2 linked regions of the Neodiprion lecontei genome follow. The protein of the gene in region 1 interacts with the protein of each later gene in a biochemical or structural test. Links are inferred from orthologs where the notes say so. Each region holds a gene or a part of one and is shown on either strand. Other genes may lie near its edges.

Region 1 (9,665 bases):
TGTAATAAACGTGCTCTAACCTACCTCTACATCACATCAGCTCGGCGCGGCTAGACTTTGCTTACGTATTGGTGGATATCCTGTCGCTAGAAAAGCAGAGAACCATTGTTTTCTTCTCCAGGTCGAAAGGGTGGCTGGGTATTCCAGCACTTGGAAGCCGAAAACGTCTATTTCTAGTCCGAAGCATAATATATCAATAGGTATATCCACCCTGCATAGATGTTCGTACATATTATATTAGCATTTACCGGGTTACAGTTGAATACAAAGTCTGCTAAAGTTCGTTTTTTGCTCCTCATAGGGGGTTGCGAAACCCGTTATGGTATTTTCAATGTATTTCAAGCATTGAATCATTTTGAAACAGTTTCATACCTGATATTTACTTGACTTCCCGTACAGACACTGCTGCAACACTCTTCATCTTCCTTTTCAATTTCAGAACAATACAATGTCCACGCAATTCCTAGGGTGTACCGTGTCGGTCAAGTGCGATGAGTCACTTGGCACTTACCAAGGCCAAATTGTCGACCTTAACGGCCAAACCGTCACTTTGACAAAGGCTTTTCGAAACGGGGTACCTTACCCCTCTCCGCAAGTTGTTCTGTCGTAAGTTTTAGATCATATCGGTGATGATTAGGTGTTAACGACAATATCTTTTACATTATTTAATTCTAATTTTATTCCCTTATAGTGCCAAGGACATACTTCATATAGAAATAATCTCAACAGAGGAAGCTGAGGATTGCCGTGATGAAGTTCAGACTTCGAGCAAAGTCACGGTGAGGCGACCCATTGCAAAACGAGCTGGTAGATCCGTTTCTGAATGCATTCCACCTTTGGTACTTCCTAATTCCGATATTCAACAGCAATCTAATGCGCGGAAACCGCTTGATTCTATGCAGTCACACCCAGAGCCTGCTGCTAATGGAAAAATATATCTAGGTAGGATTTCCTGCACTTTCGGTAGTAAAATTTTAACGTTTGTCAGTTGATATATCGTAGTGTAAAAGATTGTGGGATATACTTAAGTAAAATTACAATTCCGAACTGTTATTTCCAGGCGAGATAAGCACAAAAAACCAGAAAAGGAGTTCGCAACGACAAAGATGGCAGGAGAAAGATGAACAAGCCTTTGGAACACCCATAGATCAGTCGATGGAGCAGGACTTTGATTTTGAGAAAAATTTAGCACTGTTCAATAAGGAGGTAATTATGGCATTTCATAAATCTGATGTCTGTACTTTTCATACCTTTTCCCACACCACTTACAGCGCTATACAACAATTAATTAGTTAAATAAAACTATTACAGGCTGTGTGGCAAGAAATAAATTCCTTGAAGCCAGACATCGTTCGTCAGTCTGAAAACACCAGAGGAAGTGTACCAAAATATCGTCACGATGAAAACGTAATAGAATCCGAACCTACAGCATTCAGACAAATTGCAGTGCCGTCTGCTGGTATCCGGGAATATGTAACTGACGATGGATTAGTAATTCCTAGCATAACGGTCGATCTCCATCGTCAATTAATCGGTGCTGCTGATAGACTAGGTATTAGCTGGGATCGCAGGGTAAGTAGAGAAACTTGACAGGCCTAAAAACCACTTTCATCCAAACTATTCCGTTCTTTATTGTTCTCTGCAAAATTTTTAGGTCGAGTTACTGGGTCGTGCAGGAGCGGAAATAATTCTACAGCTATTGGGTGGTGGGCATAGACTAAACCCGAACAATGCGCACCAATGGCCAACGGTAGTCGCCCTGTGTGGACCCCACAGGTCAGGAGCTGCGGGTGTCAATTGCGCTCGCCAATTGTCAAGTCACGGGGTGAAGACTGTCGTGTACGTTGAAAATTCGGAAGACGTCTTCCTGCTGCAGGAATTGTCGTTGTACAAGCTATCGGGAAACAGGGTTGAAACTCGGTACAAGAATCTTCCCGCAGTAGCTGATCTCATTCTCCTTGCTCTTGGCGAGGAAGGCTCGCCAAGGACAGTTGCTCCCGTTGCAACATGGGCGAACAGCAATAGAGCACCAGTTCTTGCAATTGAACCCCCGTCAGCTGGGACTCCAGGAATTATGACAAAATTCAGTCTCCTTGGTGGATTGCCCCTGTCCCATAGCGCGGATAACGGAAGATTGTATCTTTGCAATTTGGCCCTACCTGCTAAAGTATTTTCGGACGTTGGTATCACTTACAGATCACCGTTCGGACCGAAATTCGTTATTCCACTTCATTCCAACAGCTCCTAGCAGATTCCTATGACGTTCATCACTTCCGTGAAGGTACCTTAGAATCGGCTTCTCTAAATCTGCCATTATGCGAACTGAAATCAACGACCCACGGATTATTAATTACTCGAACAAAATAATTAATTATCCAGTTTTTATCATCAAACTAGTTTAATATGTATCTAAATATCAACGCCCGCGATTGTCGCGTGTTCCGTACGCGTGTTTGTTATTTACGCGGTGTGTTAATTAAATCGACATTGGACTACTGTCCGTTTCTTAATTTTGTCATACGCTCTTTTTTAGGAGCGAATTTGTCTCACGTGACTTTTGTAATTACGAGTACAGTGGAACCTCGATTAATTGGGCTGCTCAAGACCGAAGAATCCACGAATAAGTGAAATCACGGTTAATCCGAATTATTAGTAATTTTCGATCGATTCAATAGTGACTGCCGAGCATGTGATGCAGTCTGTGAACTAAGGGTATTTTCACAAGTCCAATCCCTTTCCAAGACAACCGCTAATACCCGGTTACTCACGCGAAGCTCGGAGGCGCTCCAGAGGGTCACGGTTAATTCGCTCCCCGGTTAAACCAATCCCAGTTAATCGGGGTTCTACTGTATACCGTTAGCTAGTATCCATAACTATTAGCTTGTTTGTATTATTTTTTTTTTTTTTTTAATTTTGATAGCATCTAATCGTGGGCCACAGCTGTTATAGTTTCAGCGACCATTGCTGATTAGTTTGTCGAAGTTGTTAGAAACTAATAACAGGGTGGAAAAAACCTGTACGTTGCAAAATGAAATTTATATATTGTTTGGCTCACGCCTTGCAGCGTCAAGAAATGTGCAAATTGTTATTCGTTCCGTGCTCCTATTTAAAAAAATTATAAACTTGAATCACGTCCAGTTCATATATATATATATATATGGATTGAAACTTGCTTAAATTGTAATTATCATATTAATTAATTTATTTATATTTTATACATAGTTGTATATCGAGAGAGAGGTGCTGGGTAAGTACCGAGTGTTGATGATTCTGTCAACGGTCTACCATAAGTTGATGATTGTGTACTATTGTATAGCCATATTATTACGACGATGACTATTCTTATTATTAACATATATACATGATGTAAAATTGTACAATAGAAGATCAAGAATGCAGCAGTAATTGTATCTTATAATCTATTAACACCTTACAGTTTCGCTGTATCAATTTACTGTCATATGCATAATAACGTTCCGCGGTTGCAGCCGGCCAATAATAATCGGCATTTTCGTTTACGCGCAGGAAGTCGGCGGCCCGCGACGCAGCGTGAATGCGTAAATGAAACTACTATAGAATAAATTACTGCATATATCAATTACGTAGTTCATAATTTTCTCTACTTGGGCCTAGGTCGATTCGCGTCTTGTCGCAGTCAGGCGTGACCTGGAAAGCACGGTACGTTACGTAGTCGCGCGTGTACGTGGAAAACAAAGAGAGAACAAGGGGGAAAAAAAGGAAGAAAAAAAAATTCGTGAATTTGTCATTAATTATCATAATACTTCTGTGTTAAGAAAATCCTCAATACCGTCTCGACGCGGAGTGTATTAACGCTTACGCTCACGCGCATATAACGTATCATGTATGTTGTATACACTTATCATTACTCGCAATACGCGCCCGTGTAATATCTGTGCATATCTCTTGACTCTGTCGTCCATGAGTCGCGCACGACGGTGTTATCAGACGTTGATTTAAAGCAGCTCTGATGCTGTCTCATTCTTATCTATCTTCGAAAGTTTTGGTACTTTCGGGAATTACGTTTTCCGCGACAATTCATTTAATTTCACGTTTAACGTTACGGATCGGAATACTTGCCTTAAATTTTTGCACCTCGTTGCCCTGGCGAAATAGTTTGAAACTTAAACTCAAGGAGGAACAAGTATATCGCGTGCGCATTGCGTAGGTGTTGTGTGTGTGCGAAGAATAATGCGCTGATTAAGTTGAGATCGTGTGGGGTACGGCTAAACGAACAAAGAACGAGTAATTTCTTTCTCGTTAATTTTCTCTATGTAACATCGCGATTAAACCGCGTGTGCTAGCTGATAACGATCAACAAGGTGATCGCTTGATCGTTTTGATAAACAGCACCACTTGCTTTTGCTTCTTTATTTTGCGGGGCGAGCTTGGCTAATATTGGCAGAACGCGTTGTCTGTATGCATATATATGTATAGCCATTTCTCACAGTTGCTGCTTGTGTGTGGTGTGTGTCAAAACGAATAAAGAAACTAGTCTAAAAGTAACGCCGACGAGTGGCTCTTAACGAAGGTGCGGGAAGAAAAGTATTTGTATATACCTATAATGTAAAAATATGTAAAAATCGTCAAATTTTGTTGTTCGATATACGTAATTGTGCGCGCTAATTAACTTTAATCGGCTACATCCACCACCGCTGTGATCCGGGACCCCGATCCTCCCAACGCAACGTATAACGCCCGTAATTCTCGCCTCTATGCATCTCTATTCGGCACGTACAACGTACGGTGTACGTATAATAATAAAATACGTTGCAGGAGCGTGTCTAATACTTCGAGAGAAGAAAGAAAATAGAGGAAACCGAACACCAATTGCATACAAAGTTTAAGTCGAGTTATGAACGGAAAAGCTGCAGCCACCAGCCTGGGCACCTAGTCGATCCATAGATCATTTCTGTCCTTCGACGCGTTGCGATTCGGTTTGCGGATACCTTCTCGAAGATGCCGGCTACCTTGACGTACCCGATCTACGCCGGGATCGAACCACCGCCTCCTAGAAGACGAGCAAACACATGGACCAGCACATGGGTAGGACGACGTCGATCCTCGGCGAGCGCGCAGGAAACTCTCGCATCCCGAGCTGGAAGGCTCTCCCTTTCCGTCCAGCCCACAACCACGGTGAGGAAACTCTCTTTTTCTTCTTCCCTCCCTTGTCGCTACGTCCTGTAAGGATACGTGTCCCAATAAGGAAACTCCGTAGCATCATATATAACCTACATTGTATTACATTTGTATGCGTGGTGGGACAACATGCCTCTGTATATGTATACATACATATTTAAATGCTATATACCTACGTGAGCCAGATTATAAATATACGCAAAGTGAGAATTCTATGAGTCAATGGTGTTTTTCACTGGCGATTCGCTTGTTCGTACGTAAATGATACGAATCGCACATTGTACTGTGATCTTCGACATTTAAAACCGCAACCCGTGTCTCGCTTCGTATGAAATAATAAAAGTAACTGAATTTATTGGATGTATATGTATGTATTATGTACACATATAGCTGTTCCGGTTGGTTATACCATTCGATTTGTCGTATGCCAATTCGCTCGACCAACCAACTTTACCGTAAATCACGTGATTTCACTGATATCACTACAATTGAGACTGGGTGCGGCGTTAAGGGAATATCAAACTTTTTTTTACTAAACGTTTTAGAAAAATTATGCGACTGCATTTTTTTTTTTCAAACCATTTTTGACACCCATACTTATATTTTCTAACTTGAGGTACACAGACACTAGGGGAAAATATTAGTCGATGTTATTAGTTTACGGTGCTTCTTCTGCGTTTTGATAAGATTAAAGGTAATTCCCGCGGATGACCTCGAATGTTGTATTGTACGTACAAACACACGTGCAGCGACACTCACGGATGGTAATCACGGTCACCGAAGGCGCAAGTGTACGTATTTGAGTGTACGTGTACCTGCTGCGCACTGTAGACGGGCCAAAATCTGTTGCGCATGATATGAAAGTGCGTTAAAAAGAAATGGGAAAATTTCTGGTATACGCCAGATTGTCGATAATATGAAAATTGATGAATGAGAATTGAGCGGCAATGGGAATCATCGAAGTACCGTGTGCACGACCATTCGTAAGTTTCGCGGGGGATCAGAAAGGCGGATCATGACGGAACAAAGCTTCCGTGTTACTTTGATTATCCGAAGTTGGCAGCACTTGAAACGGCCGTCTGAACGGCAACTTAGAAAGTGGGGGTAATACGAGAACAGACTTCTTGATGGCAGATAATAAATTATAGTAATTCGTAATAAATAGAAAACGATCGTTTTTCTGGCGATTCGCGAACGTTTTTATTCCACGTGTTGTTAATGGCAGAGGAACATGTTTACGGATACAATCCGACGACCGGCGTCGACGGGGTGAGTCCTACACGATATTTGACAGTTCCCCTGACAAGTGGTCTAGGTTGGGTTCTTTCACGATCTTCGAAATCCGAGGTGTCCAGGGCTTTCAGGGTCTACCTGCCGTCGCACGAAATATCGTCGGAAAATATCCTTGTCGGCTCAATCGCGTCAAACGTTACGCTCCAGAGAGTGGGTCGGTGGTTTCCGGGAACTTGTGATATTTCCCTTTTCTCTTTCTCTTTCTCTCTATCGCCCTCTGTTTCTCTCTACACTGGTCTCTTCCAATTATTGTATGTATCCTTGTCGCGTCACCCTCCTCTAATATCTACCGATAATTCAGTCGATTCTAACGCAGCAAGGTCGTCCTGTTATTATCTTTCTGTACCTAGGACGAGGAGGCAACGAATAAGCTGAGGCTCAAGGTTATAGCTGGTCATCAACTGGCCAAAAAGGACATATTCGGTGCGAGCGATCCTTACGTCCGAGTTGATTTGAACAAGATCAATGGAGATGGGAACGTCAACTCAGTGCTCACCAAGACTAAGAAAAAGACCTTGAACCCAGTTTGGGAGGAAGAATTCATATTCAGGGTGAGTTTGCTGTAACCACCTTCTGTTGTGTCTGATAAATTATAATCTAACGTCAAATTGATAATGCAATGACGATTAATTGTGCATCTTGCTGTTGCAAAGGTCAAACCAGCCGAGCACAAACTCATTCTCCAAGTATTTGACGAAAACAGATTGACCAGAGATGATTTTCTCGGAATGGTTGAGCTGACTTTAATCAATCTACCCAAGGAACAAGAAGGACGCGTCATTCCTGCCAAGCAATATATACTTAGACCACGTAGGTGAGTAGCTGGCTGTAGATGTTTGTTTCGGTACGATTATCTCACATCAATCATATTATCTAATGGTAGATGCAAATTATATTCAACATCCACATGAACCACCGTTTTCAGAGTATGATACATATTATAATATGTTATCCATGTTGTTTCTTGATCTTTTACCAAGAATTGTGCGATGATAAAAATAATTAATGATCGACGACGTGGCTTAGCAATCATTCCAGTCAACGGTCGCGCGTTAAAGGCACGCTGGAAGTGTACCACGCATACATTTCGGACTCAACAGGGGAGAGCAGCAATGGCGAAGGTGAAACTGCGCCTGACTCCGGTGGTTGGGAACTGTTGGACCAGCCCGTTTCAACGTCTAATGATAGTCCTGTAGAACAAGCTGCTCCGGTTGGTTTACCTAATTTTTTCTACAAAGTACAGTCTTTCAGTTACTCTACAAGTAAATGAACACAAAATTTTGAATTGAGAACAGCGATCGAATATAAGATCGACCTGGGCACGGGAAATTCTTTAACAATGAGAAATAACTGTGATATTTCAATGCTCATATTCTTAGACTTCATCAATTTTGATTTACAGACAATAATGGTCAATGGGCCTCTGCCGCCTGGATGGGAAGAAAGACAGGACGCGAACGGGAGAACGTACTATGTCAATCACATAGCTAGATTCACGCAATGGGAACGGCCGACAGTCCTGTAAGTGAAGTTCTGTATGAATTCATCAACTCTTTACAAACCCCTCATACATGTCATCGTAAACTTCTTCTGTAACTGCCGTTCTTACAGACAATCGATTATGGTTATTTTCCAGAAATCAAGCACCAACGGGTGGTGTAACACAGGAGCAACGAAATCTAGATACCGCAGCAACCGAGTTCCAGAGACGCTTTCACATCAGTGTTGATGATGCAGAAAATAGGCATAACCGAAGCTCTGGCCTTCATCAGGTGAGAACACAAAGTGCAACTCACCTTTTTCTTTTGCCAATAATTTTGCCTGATAGAATTAGCAACTTGCTATACAGTATAACAACCTCGTTGTCATCCTACCTTACAATGGTTTGTTATTAACATTAGTACTTCTAAAATTATAAAAATAAAGTTCAAATAAAACTGTGGTGAGGGGTTGTATAAACGCAGCATGCGGTGTGTAGCAAATTGTGCATGTGTGTATAAGGATGGTGATGTCCCTCGAGAGGAGGACGAGCATGCGGAAGACAAGAATGACGAAGGTGGGGAACAAGGGGAAAGGGTGGTTGGGGATGCTTCATCGGATTCCGGTCGTTCAGTCGATCAGCACGGCTACCTGGGCGAATCTGATGATCAGGTATTCATCGTTCACTTCGAACCATATTACACATTTGCTTTCTTTGTGCAAATATCCGATTATCAGCTGCCTTCTTTCAATCACTTCTAATGCTTAACAATATCAATATATATCGCAATTTTAAATAAAAAAATTGCCAGTATATTGTGGCCTCACATCCCTGTGTATTTAAACATACATGCCGTTGTTTTTTCTGCGAGCAACGCCAGCCTTTTTTTTCTCGATGGTGGTATTTCATCATGCTCTGCAATTTTTGTTCCCAGAGTGAGGAAGCTGCTGATAGCCCGAATGGTTCCAGGCGATCCTCGGAACAGGTATACTTGTTTCTCCGTACATATGGATATCCCAATTTTCAATATATTTAACATAGGTATTCTGTATCTCTCTGTCAATTTTTTTTATCCAGATTGATGGTCCAGTAATACCAGCGGCTTCCCCGGCCACAGCTATAGCTCCACCGGCAGCGGCTGCTTCTCAGACACCGAATGGCGACGGGTTGCCTTCTGGATGGAGTATGCAATTGGCACCAAATGGTAGAATGTTTTTTATAGATCACAATGAACGAGCTACGACGTGGGTAGACCCAAGAACGGGGCGCGCCAGTCCTATGCCGAGTCACAATGCTCCGTCAGCAACACCAAGGAGTGATTTAGACCAGTTAGGACCATTGCCCGAAGGATGGGAGGAAAGAGTGCATACGGATGGTCGCATATTCTTCATTGATCACAGTGAGCCGTTTTACTCAAATTGCCGATAGCTGGATAACCTTTGAGCAAGATGATAATTATGTACACTGATGTAAATTACTTTGTTTCAGATACAAGAACCACTCAATGGGAGGATCCGCGAATGTCTAATCCTCAGATAGCTGGACCTGTAAGTTATCATTTATTTCTATGACGCTGAAGCTTATCTTATCTGTTTTATTCCGATTTGATTGTAATAATCGGGCAAGTATAGAAACTAATCTCGCGAACATTATACCTGAATTACAGGCAGTTCCGTACTCCAGGGACTACAAGCGTAAATACGAGTACCTGAAGTCACAGCTGAGAAAACCAGTG
Region 2 (10,549 bases), on another chromosome or scaffold:
AAGAAAATGATAGGAAACAAGTGTGCAATGAGAAGAAATTTTCAGTACTTTAAATTTGGCCAATCGAACCAAAACGAGATATTATCAAATCAGCACCGTTATGCGGTCTGCCAAAGTTCACATCAAAATCTTACGTATGCAATGATGCAATATGTATGATTTCAATTTTGACATTTCAAATTCTAAGTTGTTTGGATTTCCAAGATTTTTCAGCTCACTGAACACCCTGAATTTCAAACAGTTCAATTATGCGAAGACTACAGATTGAAAATTACATTGGGAATATTTTCAAATAATATCTGTAAATGTGGACGAATTTGAACAAATCCTCAGGTTTACCATTGATATTTGAAATATTAATTAATTCATCACTTGATACATACGTGTGATCTAAATTTGCTTACTCCTAATAAAATTATAAAGAAAGAAAATACACGTACAAATTGGAAAGCAGTAAATGCACCAAATGATGTACAGTAATTTTTCAGCAAATTTCTTAGAATTCATACTGGAAAAATTTGATACGAATTTGATGCAAATACGCCAATTGTGAGAAAAAATGGTAAAAAAAAAAAACTAAATAAACTAAATTGAAATAAATATATAAATAACAAGAAATTCATACACACATGGTAAACTATACGAGTATAATTAATAACTGGGAATAAAAAGTAATGCTCACATCTCCTACCTTATCCTTCTTGTCCTGCCTGGCATATGGGAAGCAAGGGATGACTGCTGTTACTCGAGATGCAGAGGCAATCTTGCATGCATTGATCATAATCAGCAGCTCCATGAGATTGTCATTTACCTCGCCACTGCCGCTTTGAATAATGTAAACATCTTCGCCACGTACAGACTCTCCGATTTCCACGCTGAGAATGAAAAATGTTACAATTTTTCATTAAACTACATATAATGGTGAAGATACTAGTACGAGGTGGATACATCAAAGAAGAAAAAGACACGTTTAGTCACGTTGCTATTGTGTCGTCGAAAGGTAAATTGTTGTTACATTGAATGAAATGAGATCAGTTACATAAATTCAGTTTCTGATACTTTAGGGAGCTTATTTCAATCTGCCGGTCGTCGACAATTTACTTTATTACATAGGAAAAGAAGGAAATACAATTTTCATAAAAATTATCCACTTTTTGTAAAGTTACACATTGATTTTTTGATTAATTTCAAATGTTGCAAGCCTTCGACTCTTCAGAAAAGTAGACTCGATATAGTAAACAACGGAACTTTTATGATAACTTGCGAAGAAAAAGAATAGAGCCATGAAATAATTGCTTCTGTTCAAATAAGATTACATCATGTTTTATTTGTTCAGCATTTCTTAAATAGTTAGAAACTCTTTTGTTTGAATTCAAACCAACGTTTCTAGTTGGAATCTACCGTGATATTATCATTTTGCGAATGGATAGGCGATTATTAACGAAACTAAAGCTTTGTTGTTTGGTTATTTATTAGCAATTGCTTTGAAAAATTGGAATTTTTCAAAAATAATTGCAATGTAAATGAATCTGCATTCTTTTCACCTGTAAAAGTTGATTAATAGCGGTACTTTCAAATGTTTGGAAGGTCTTCAATATTTTGTGATAAACATTTGGCGAACCTTAATCAAATCGCGTATGATAATTTTTGATCCTTCAGAACGTAACGATGTAGAAATGAAACGTGTACCGGTAAGACTGTTGAGTATAAAAATAAAGGTAGGTAGTAAAAAATTGCATGCATAAATATACGACGTTATATTTGGTCGTTATAAATATCGGATGTGATTTCAAGTAATGATACAGGAAAACTTTGTCAGCATCGAAAGAGTTTCAATACAGAACAGTGCCCACTACCAACAAACGGCAAGGTCGTTGTAATCATGATGTATTAAAGGCAACGTCAACCTACACAAGAAATTGCGCGCAGCCGTCTAATACGTACATAATATGTATGTATGTATGTACATAGGTACACAAAATGACGCGAAATATCAATGATTACGTACGCGGAGCAATAGATCCGAGAGAAGTAAAAAAGATTCGTTCTATTACTAGAGTCGGACGGGAAGGCAAAGGACAAAAAGATATGAGGGAATTAAACAACGCGGCGTGGCGTTGCGAGGATCTCCGGTGAACGGTGATTGGCGCAAGAGGGGTTCGCGTACCTGTCGAAGCAAGGGTGCCAGAATAAACGACGCTAATTCCGAGAACGATTTACCCAGATTTCAGGCGACTGTTTAGATATTTTGGAGCTTCGATGAAGCGGGATAGAATTTTGTCGACGAGTTGGATTGGCCATTGCTCCGCGAGGAAGCGGCGCGGGTCCTGACTCTTTATAAGATAAAAGGATAAATAAGGGCTGCAATGATGTAGTTACCATGTTTCGAGGTTGCTGAATTTTTTCGTGACAACCTTCCCGATGTCGATTCCAAGCCTGTCGACTATTCGCTGCGCCAGGTCCGGGTGCGACGTACCGCTGAATACTTTGATATTTGGCATTCTGCTCCGTAGTACACTACCGCCACGAGGTTTCTCTAACTTTGCGCGTAACAAACTCCTCGCACGGACTGGTTGCGAGACGGGCATTACTGTAAATCCGAACGACCAATCAGAGCCGTCCGGAAATTATCAGTATGCGGACCCAGCGCTCCCTCGTGTCAGCTTACCGAATTATTTGCATTTCAAATCTTTGATCTTAGGGTGGATTTTCACTGGCGGCAATATGCTTTTTTCACCGATAGGAATGCCGATAAAGTAATAAAGTGCTGCCTGATGCACGCTGAATGCGAATTATCCATTTTTATTATTATTTGCATTGGTCTGGAACTAGGCAGTAAAATACTGCCGCAGCATTTTGCTGTCCACGAAAAGCTCGCATGCCTCATGGGGTAAATGGTAACGGCCACTCGGTATACTCTATCTCTCTTGCTCTGCGCTATGATTAGCTGGTCGATCATTCAAATTGGCCAATTTTTCTGTTATTTTTTTATTTTTTTTTCATATTCTCACGAACTTCCAGCGAGTTTTAAGAGGATGCTACGGGTAGTCTCTAGTAACCGAATAAAATATCACTCATTTTGACTATTACCCAGAGTCTACGCATCACTGACATGAAAATGGCGCGGATAGCACATTTTAGCCACTGCAATGTCGAACAAGAATATTCAAAAGCTTCTGTCTTTCATGCAAGAATAACATCAGAAAATGTGCTCCTACAATTAGTAGTAATTCTATTACAGGAATATCATTGTAGCGTAAAACAAATACCCGTTGGGTTCTTGTGTTCTGCTTTCGATACAGAATAGTGCTATCACGGGACTACCTTTTCCCGTTAACGAATGCGTAGGCTCTGATAATAGTTAATCATAAGTGACATTTGACTTGCTCGGTAAGGACTGACTATAGAAACTTTTTTGTGAACTGATTTTGAATTTTGAGGATGTCGAAAATTGCAACAGATATTATCGTTTTCAAACCATTAAATATGACTCGAAGAGATAAAATTTGTTCATGAACGGGTACGGGGATAATTAAAAAAAAAATTAGGTAATGCGTTTCATAGTTCGGTCCGTACATGGCAGATATGATGCTGCAAACATATTGACATAAAATCGAACAGAATTGTAATTATGTACTTGAGAATCATTGAAGCATACATATTTACTATTCGTTTCATAAGTCAGCAGATAATTTAAAGTTTACTAATTAATCCGGTCATAGTTAATTTATTATCAATCGGTGTTCTGTCATATTATATTCCATTTTGTCACAGTATAATGTTACATATATATTATACATTTTTTGTACGTGACATCGTGGTCCAATTTGTTATTTTTTCAACTTTCTTCTTCAATTATAAAATTATTTATGCTGATTTAATTCATGCACTTACGTTACAATTAATGTAAAAGATTAATAGAATCGTTCGGTAAAGTATTTATATAAGTGCATTGCAGCGTTAAGATCTGACAGTAAAACAGTTAATATTCACCACTCAATATCTGTGAAGGCGTAGAATAAAACCTGCGTCATTGCTTACGTATTCCATAAGTAGTTGTTGAAGAATTGAATAAAAAAGTTATATATAACCATATTTACATGAGTCAGTGAATAAGTTTTTTGAAAATCTCGAACGAGATTGGTAGGAAAAAAAAAATTTCAAATTAGCGCCAAAGTAATCGCGGCGTGACTCTAGTCGGAATTTAAAGAGACAGGCAAGTGACAGTCACTTTTCTACTTTTCGTCTTTTCCTATCAATGTGGCGCTAGCTGTGATCGAATGACAAATTGTATGTAACCGCCAGCGGTTATTTGGGTAAAAAAAATACAGGTTGCGACAACAGTACATGAATTAAAAGAGCTGTTTAAATCGAGGTAAATACTGGCATCCGTACATTCGGCGGTAAATTATGTCAGTGTATTGAGTAGCTGGGAGTGATAGGGAGACATGGCGAACATTGCGGCGCAACGAATCAAACGGGAGTTCAAAGAGGTTATAAAAAGCGAAGAGGTGAGTGAATAAGTGCAACTTCTCAACGACCCAGTACATTTACCAGTATTTAGCCAAACGCGTGATCGCGAGAGAATTTCACATATTATGCAACGCTAACCTGTAACAAACGGCTAAACAGATTCTCCACGTACCAAGTCGTAGACAATTTTGAGTTGAGGGCACATCTCGCTTTCCTCGCTCGTTATAATTTTCAAACTTTCCTCTGACAGTTGCTTGCGCAATTATTTACCTCGTCTGAAAAGTGTCTGTTGTTATTAGAAAAAAAACATTTTCATTGAAAACTTATCCTTTTCACAAAATTCGTGAGAATCTCAAGTTCTTAGTACATGAAATATCCTATTCAGTTCATACTCATTTCCATAGAATCTTTATTTCTTCAATATCTACGTTCTCTGTCAGGTTCATCTTTTAGGTTTCATCATTTCTCCGGATATTTGAATACTGTTTTAGAGTCACTAATTAACCATCCAAAATTCCTGTTTGAAAAGATATCAATAAATGTAGCTTACTTACCATTTTCTTCTTCTTCCGTTGACAATAATTCGACATTTTCTGGGCTTGCCATAGATTTTTGGGTTGCAGTCAAGTTTTGTTTTTCCAAGACCCCTTTGTAGGCAGGCTATCACGATTTCCACGCTTTGTTAACAAACTGCTTTGAATCTCGTCACATTTTCTTACTTCAGACCGCTTCTTGCGCTAGTCGACATTTCGAAACTTTGTTATTTTCTACACATCATTACGGGTCGCGTTGATAAACTTGGCTTGGTCATTTTTTCTATAAAAGTATTACAGATTAAAGGCTACAGGGGGTCGGCAATCTTATTAAAAGTAGATTACTATTTCTCAGCAATACGATGTATCTGTTGAGCAGTACTGTTCGTATGAATCGCGATAATATTTGTGTTGATAAAACATAACAACCTCGGTGCATAGCTTGGTTGCCTTTCCCTTTTCTACAATTATAATATTCATTAAATATGCTGATAAGATAGTGTTGTGTTTCAGTTGAAATATATTTTCAATAGTTGAAGTTGATATTGAATATGGTCAACTTGTCAAATGATTTCCTCTTCTACTTTATTGGCATTTTCAACAAACAATAATTGACTAATCATGTTTATCTCTTTTCTCTAACATTTCAGGTGGCAAAATGTGCGATTAAGGTAGAACTAGTAAATGATAGCTTCACAGAATTAAAGGGTGAAATAGCAGGACCACCCGACACTCCATATGAAGGTGGCAATTTCGTGTTAGAGATAAAAGTACCTGAAACGTATCCATTCAATCCACCCAAAGTAGGTACCAAAACCATCATGAACAAAGATGTAGTATAAGATCTGAAGTCATTGAATTTTACACTTTTTTATTTCAGGTTCGTTTTATCACAAAAATATGGCATCCAAATATATCCTCGGTTACAGGCGCCATATGTTTGGACATATTAAAAGACCAATGGTAAGTTGCAGTCCAATAATGGTTACTAATATAATTGATCGGGTGATAATTTTGCACTCTGCAATGTCGTTGGTTCTATCACCTTACGACAGAATAATTGCATAACAGATTTTAGTTGCATTGTGTTTTAAACGATAATTGTCATCCTTTGTCAGGGCTGCTGCGATGACCTTAAGAACAGTTTTGTTATCGTTACAAGCCTTATTGTCAGCTGCTGAGCCTGATGATCCACAAGACGCTGTGGTTGCTAAGCAGTATAAGGAGCAGCCTGAAATGTTTCGTCAGACTGCAAAACATTGGACGTCTGTGTATGCTGGTGGTACAAGATTTATCTACTACGAAATTTATTAAAGTTTTTTTTACGAGTAAAGACCTCAGCGAACTAATGATTGTAATATCAAAAAATACCAAGAAATGCCTGATATTTTTAGGACCAGCTAAGATGTCAGATCTCGATGACAAGATAAGAAGATTGACTGATATGGGGATCGAAGAACATAATGCACGAGTAGCCTTATCCTCCTACAATTGGGACTTAGAACGTGCCACCGAACAGCTATTCAGTTAGTGATTACTGTGTATTCTTATGTATCATAAAAAGCAGCTACTAATTGGCAGCAACCTCTTGGAATGTCACTGTCACAAAAGCATACCATCGTGTTTTCAAATAATTGAGAAAAAAACCCAACATTCGTAATGACAATATTGCAATGGTGAGATAACTTTGGAAGTGATCCCAAATTTGACTAACTATTAGCATTCATTTAACATGTAAAATAGATACGAGAAACAATAATAATTGATGAACAAGTTTTAAGTAGCAAAATTTCATAAGGTATGTAACTCAAGAGGAGGGCATTATTACGATTTACGAGAATAAGTTGTAAATTCTAAATCTACAAGACGAAGCGACATTTATGTTTGAATAGACATATGAATGTTTTTTTTTTAATCAATTCCCAATAATCCACTTAGAAACAGCATTAGTAAAATATTTAAGAACCAAACACGTATTAAAATCTACGAAGATAATTGCTTTGATTAGGCACTAACACAGTTGCCAAGTGCTTCCCTGAAATTTTTCTTCAATCTGAGTTCAAGTTTTATGTGAAACCTCATTGCTGGAGGTGTGTATCCAATTGACTGCGTTACTAACGGTTGTACTACTCAAGTGTAACTCATTGTCAGTTCAATGAATGATGATATTACATGTTTTTGCCCCCAACTCTTATTGTTCGAATATAAATAAAATTATTAAACACTTCTTCAATTGTCAAAATTTGAAGATTGACTAGCTGATTATAATATCCTGCAGCATATCGACTGATTGTAACGGGGTTTCGCTTGACTCTTGAGTGTATATTAATCAAATTAACGTATCTTTTAGTCCTAATAAACGTATTTATGAAATTTCGGTAGCCTCCAAACTTGATTTGTGAATATTTAAATTTTGCACATTTTTTGAAGTTTGATTACTTGCAAACTTACACTACTTTTCATTATACCGACGATAAGAAAATTCCAAGAAATCAGCAAAATTAAACTTATAATTTTAATTACAGTGACGGTTATGGCGAAAAATTGAACGTAGCTATTTGATGAAAATACATTTCTTAGAAAACTTGGAGTGTAAGACGGCAGTGTGGTACGACAGGATATCGCATGGTCGGTCCCGTGCACGTTTGCTAAGTGATGTTGTATACGTTTCACGTAATGGAACATTTGATTAATTTAATCTACATCCTATCTTACTTCGATTGTAATTCTAAGAGTAAAGTTCTATTGCCAGGTGTGAAATCTTACCTGCATACGATGTACTCCAATTAATTGAAAATTGATAGTTATGTTTCATAATATTTCATGCATTTTTCAATCATTCACAATGTGCAGGCTGTGTCTGAAGTGTCGCCAGCAAGAGTCAAGGTCCAACTACTCGCAAACCAGTTTGTTAACTTGGGACAAATGGTTGGGATCTGTGAATTTGAATTTACAGGAAAACAAAAAAAAAACTCTGCTCTGTTCATATTGGGAAATTTAGGATTTATACCATTTAATAAGATCAATGTACATTAATAGGCCTCAAATATTAATAAAAGTAATTTTTTTTCAATACTTCTTTCAAAATTTGATCCACCTTGATTTGATCGTGGAAAAATATAAATAGTATACAGTTTTGAATTACTGGAAGTAAAAAAATTATTCGGTCAATATTTAAAAACAGGGCTTATAGCACTCTTAAAAAACGTGCCTAATCTATAAAGAAAATTTTTTTATTCGATACAAAATACTTACGCTACAATAATCGGTATCACATAAATTTAATTACACACACGTATATGACATATTGTATAGTTTAAACAAGTTTCTTTCACTTTCTATTTCACTAGTAAATAAAACACATTCGATTATGATTTCACATCATGCTATTCCTTAATAACACTTGACGTCAACGTCTGTATGCATTTATCTTACAAATAATCAATTACCATATTTATATGCCCTTAGTTTCTTTTGAGAGAGCGTTGCTAGAAAGAGGTCATTGTTTTTAGTATTAAAGGCGCAGAAGTCTATCACAGGATCAGAAACAGGAAGATTATAGATCTGTTTACCAGTTGATATGCTCCAAATTGGTATAGAGCTGGTAGCTTCTTGATGAGCGGCTAGAAGCGTGTCATTTTCAGTCTTTATCTGACACGGTCTAGAAAGTAATTTCTGTGAATTTCCACCTTGGAAAGTGTGAACGATATTGCAAACGATTATATCCTCGGTACCTTTTTCAATTGTACAAACAGTATGCCTTGCCTGCGGTTGCCTGGGGTTTGGGCGAGACGAAACCACGACATGTTTGCTTTCGGAATCGTAGCAAACTGACACAAACGGCCCTTCAAGAAACATTTGCTTGCCTGCAAACTCCGCATCTTTGCTTTCGTATGCGAAACAACTATTCAGGCGACAAGCTATGAACCCTCCAGCCGGTATTCCACTGTCGTAAGCTGGTGCAACCTTTGCTAAAGCGACGACCGGTGATCTGTCTCCTGGTCCGTCTATTTTGCTGATTGGGCCAGCCGTTTGTCTAATATCGAATTGTCTGACAGAACCGTCTTGGGCACCGGCCAAAAAGACATTGTGATTATTACCGGCCCAACAACAGCTCCATAGCTGAGAATCCGTCTGATAATTGTGAACCACTGTATTATTGTGGATGTCCATCAACTTTGCACACTTGTCGAATCCAACACTAAGGAGTATTTCGTTTATGTAAGGATTGAACGACACGTCTCTGATGGCCTGAGAATGCAGGAAGACGAATTGTCGAGATCGAAATTCTCTGGAATCAATTTTTTTTATTCCATACCCAGAAAATAAGGCATTTGTGGATTTTTGTGATATGACTAAGGTCTGGTACCACGCATTATAGGCAAGAACTCTGCACCCGCCATCTTTACAAATGTCAATCGATCGTTCAAGATGAAATTTCTTTAACATTGGTTGCGAATTTGAGTGCTGTAGGCTCGATTGATATTCCTTTCCCATTTGCAGTTGCTGACTTTCAAGTTCTAATATTCGCTGCTTCATACCAGCCAGCTGTTGGTCGAATAATTTCTGCCGTATTATGTACCTTTCCAGTTCCATCTGCAGCCGACTTTTCTCTGCTGTAACTTTGCTTAATTCTACTTTCAGTTTGTCCGCTTCACTAGTATCAACTGCTGATAACTTTTTGACATACAATACGCGTATATCCTTAGCCGAAGCCTTGTGATTGCACTGAGGACATCGACGCGCTCCTGCGTTACATCCAGTTTGTAACCAACGCTGAATACAACTATATCCAAACAGGTGTCCACAGCGTAAAGAACAGAGACGATGTTCTCCAGAGTTGTTCCACAGATCCATGCAAATCGGACATGATTGACCCGAATCTAGGTCTGCCTCCTCATCCGAGCCTGGGTCTTTTCTTTTGTTTCCTATGAAATGAGTTTTGTCCATCGAGATATATTTGAATTATCTTAGGTAGATCAACGGTAACTGTTAATACTAGTTTGTTTTGCAAGAAGCAATTACGGTCCCAAAGAAATCCGAAACATCAAATAGGGGCTATAATTATCTGGACCTTGAATCAATGTCAAATATTTCATATGACTTTGAGATGTCAAAGGAAACATGACTTGATACTATGATGAAACAATATGTAAGTGCTTACTGCACCTTTGAATATTACTAAATAACTCACCAATTTCGAGAAGCTCTTCGTTATTGTTGTTTGCTTGTGGTTTTTGGAAAATTGGTACATTCTCTTCCCCTTGTACAGATCGAAAGGTTATTGGTTCACTATGCTCAATAACCTGAGCTTCTTGGTCTGTCTCTGGTTCTGATATGTGTACCACTTCCCGTATAGGAGTGTTGACACGATTATCAGGAGCCAGGATTACTGGCTCATCTGCTTCTTGAACCTCCATCTCTTCTTCATCTAACATAATCAATATTCAATTAATAATAAGAATTGGATTATAAGTGTACATCAAGCTCGATGTTGAATGATAGCTGCGTGCAAGTGTTTCCTCAAAATCTTTGCCATTTTT

What was found.
Region 2: the proteins of E3 ubiquitin-protein ligase Nedd-4 (region 1) and ubiquitin-conjugating enzyme E2-22 kDa form a complex in vitro, tested with the Homo sapiens proteins (2 studies listed by BioGRID). The link is inferred for Neodiprion lecontei from reciprocal best matches to the Homo sapiens genes NEDD4L and UBE2K.

The regions. Positions count from the first base shown.
Region 1 is NC_060266.1:25,980,250-25,989,914, forward strand, and holds the start of E3 ubiquitin-protein ligase Nedd-4, read left to right. Parts: upstream 1-4,977; coding exon 4,978-5,154; exon of another isoform or gene 5,155-5,199; intron 5,200-5,333; exon of another isoform or gene 5,334-5,889; intron 5,890-6,023; exon of another isoform or gene 6,024-6,375; coding exon of another isoform or gene 6,376-6,426; intron 6,427-6,439; exon of another isoform or gene 6,440-6,701; intron 6,702-6,800; coding exon 6,801-7,001; intron 7,002-7,103; coding exon 7,104-7,264; intron 7,265-7,476; coding exon 7,477-7,660; intron 7,661-7,852; coding exon 7,853-7,971; intron 7,972-8,086; coding exon 8,087-8,222; intron 8,223-8,451; coding exon 8,452-8,601; intron 8,602-8,864; coding exon 8,865-8,915; intron 8,916-9,007; coding exon 9,008-9,329; intron 9,330-9,418; coding exon 9,419-9,477; intron 9,478-9,596; coding exon 9,597-9,662; intron 9,663-9,665. Other genes in the region: enhancer of mRNA-decapping protein 3, read left to right, coding at 449-606, 692-942, 1,061-1,206, 1,312-1,572, 1,655-2,248. UniProt on the Homo sapiens protein: E3 ubiquitin-protein ligase that mediates the polyubiquitination of lysine and cysteine residues on target proteins and is thereby implicated in the regulation of various signaling pathways including autophagy, innate immunity or DNA repair.
Region 2 is NC_060261.1:10,717,985-10,728,533, reverse strand, and holds ubiquitin-conjugating enzyme E2-22 kDa, read left to right. Parts: upstream 1-4,237; 5' UTR 4,238-4,448; coding exon 4,449-4,511; intron 4,512-5,656; coding exon 5,657-5,809; intron 5,810-5,886; coding exon 5,887-5,969; intron 5,970-6,124; coding exon 6,125-6,288; intron 6,289-6,400; coding exon 6,401-6,532; coding exon of another isoform or gene 6,533-6,537; exon of another isoform or gene 6,538-7,531; coding exon 7,532-7,554; 3' UTR 7,555-7,859; coding exon of another isoform or gene 7,860-7,870; 3' UTR 7,871-8,079; downstream 8,080-10,549. Other genes in the region: ribose-phosphate pyrophosphokinase 1, read right to left, coding at 683-875, 2,380-2,588; E3 ubiquitin-protein ligase RFWD3, read right to left, coding at 8,448-9,934, 10,201-10,437. UniProt on the Homo sapiens protein: Accepts ubiquitin from the E1 complex and catalyzes its covalent attachment to other proteins. In vitro, in the presence or in the absence of BRCA1-BARD1 E3 ubiquitin-protein ligase complex, catalyzes the synthesis of 'Lys-48'-linked polyubiquitin chains.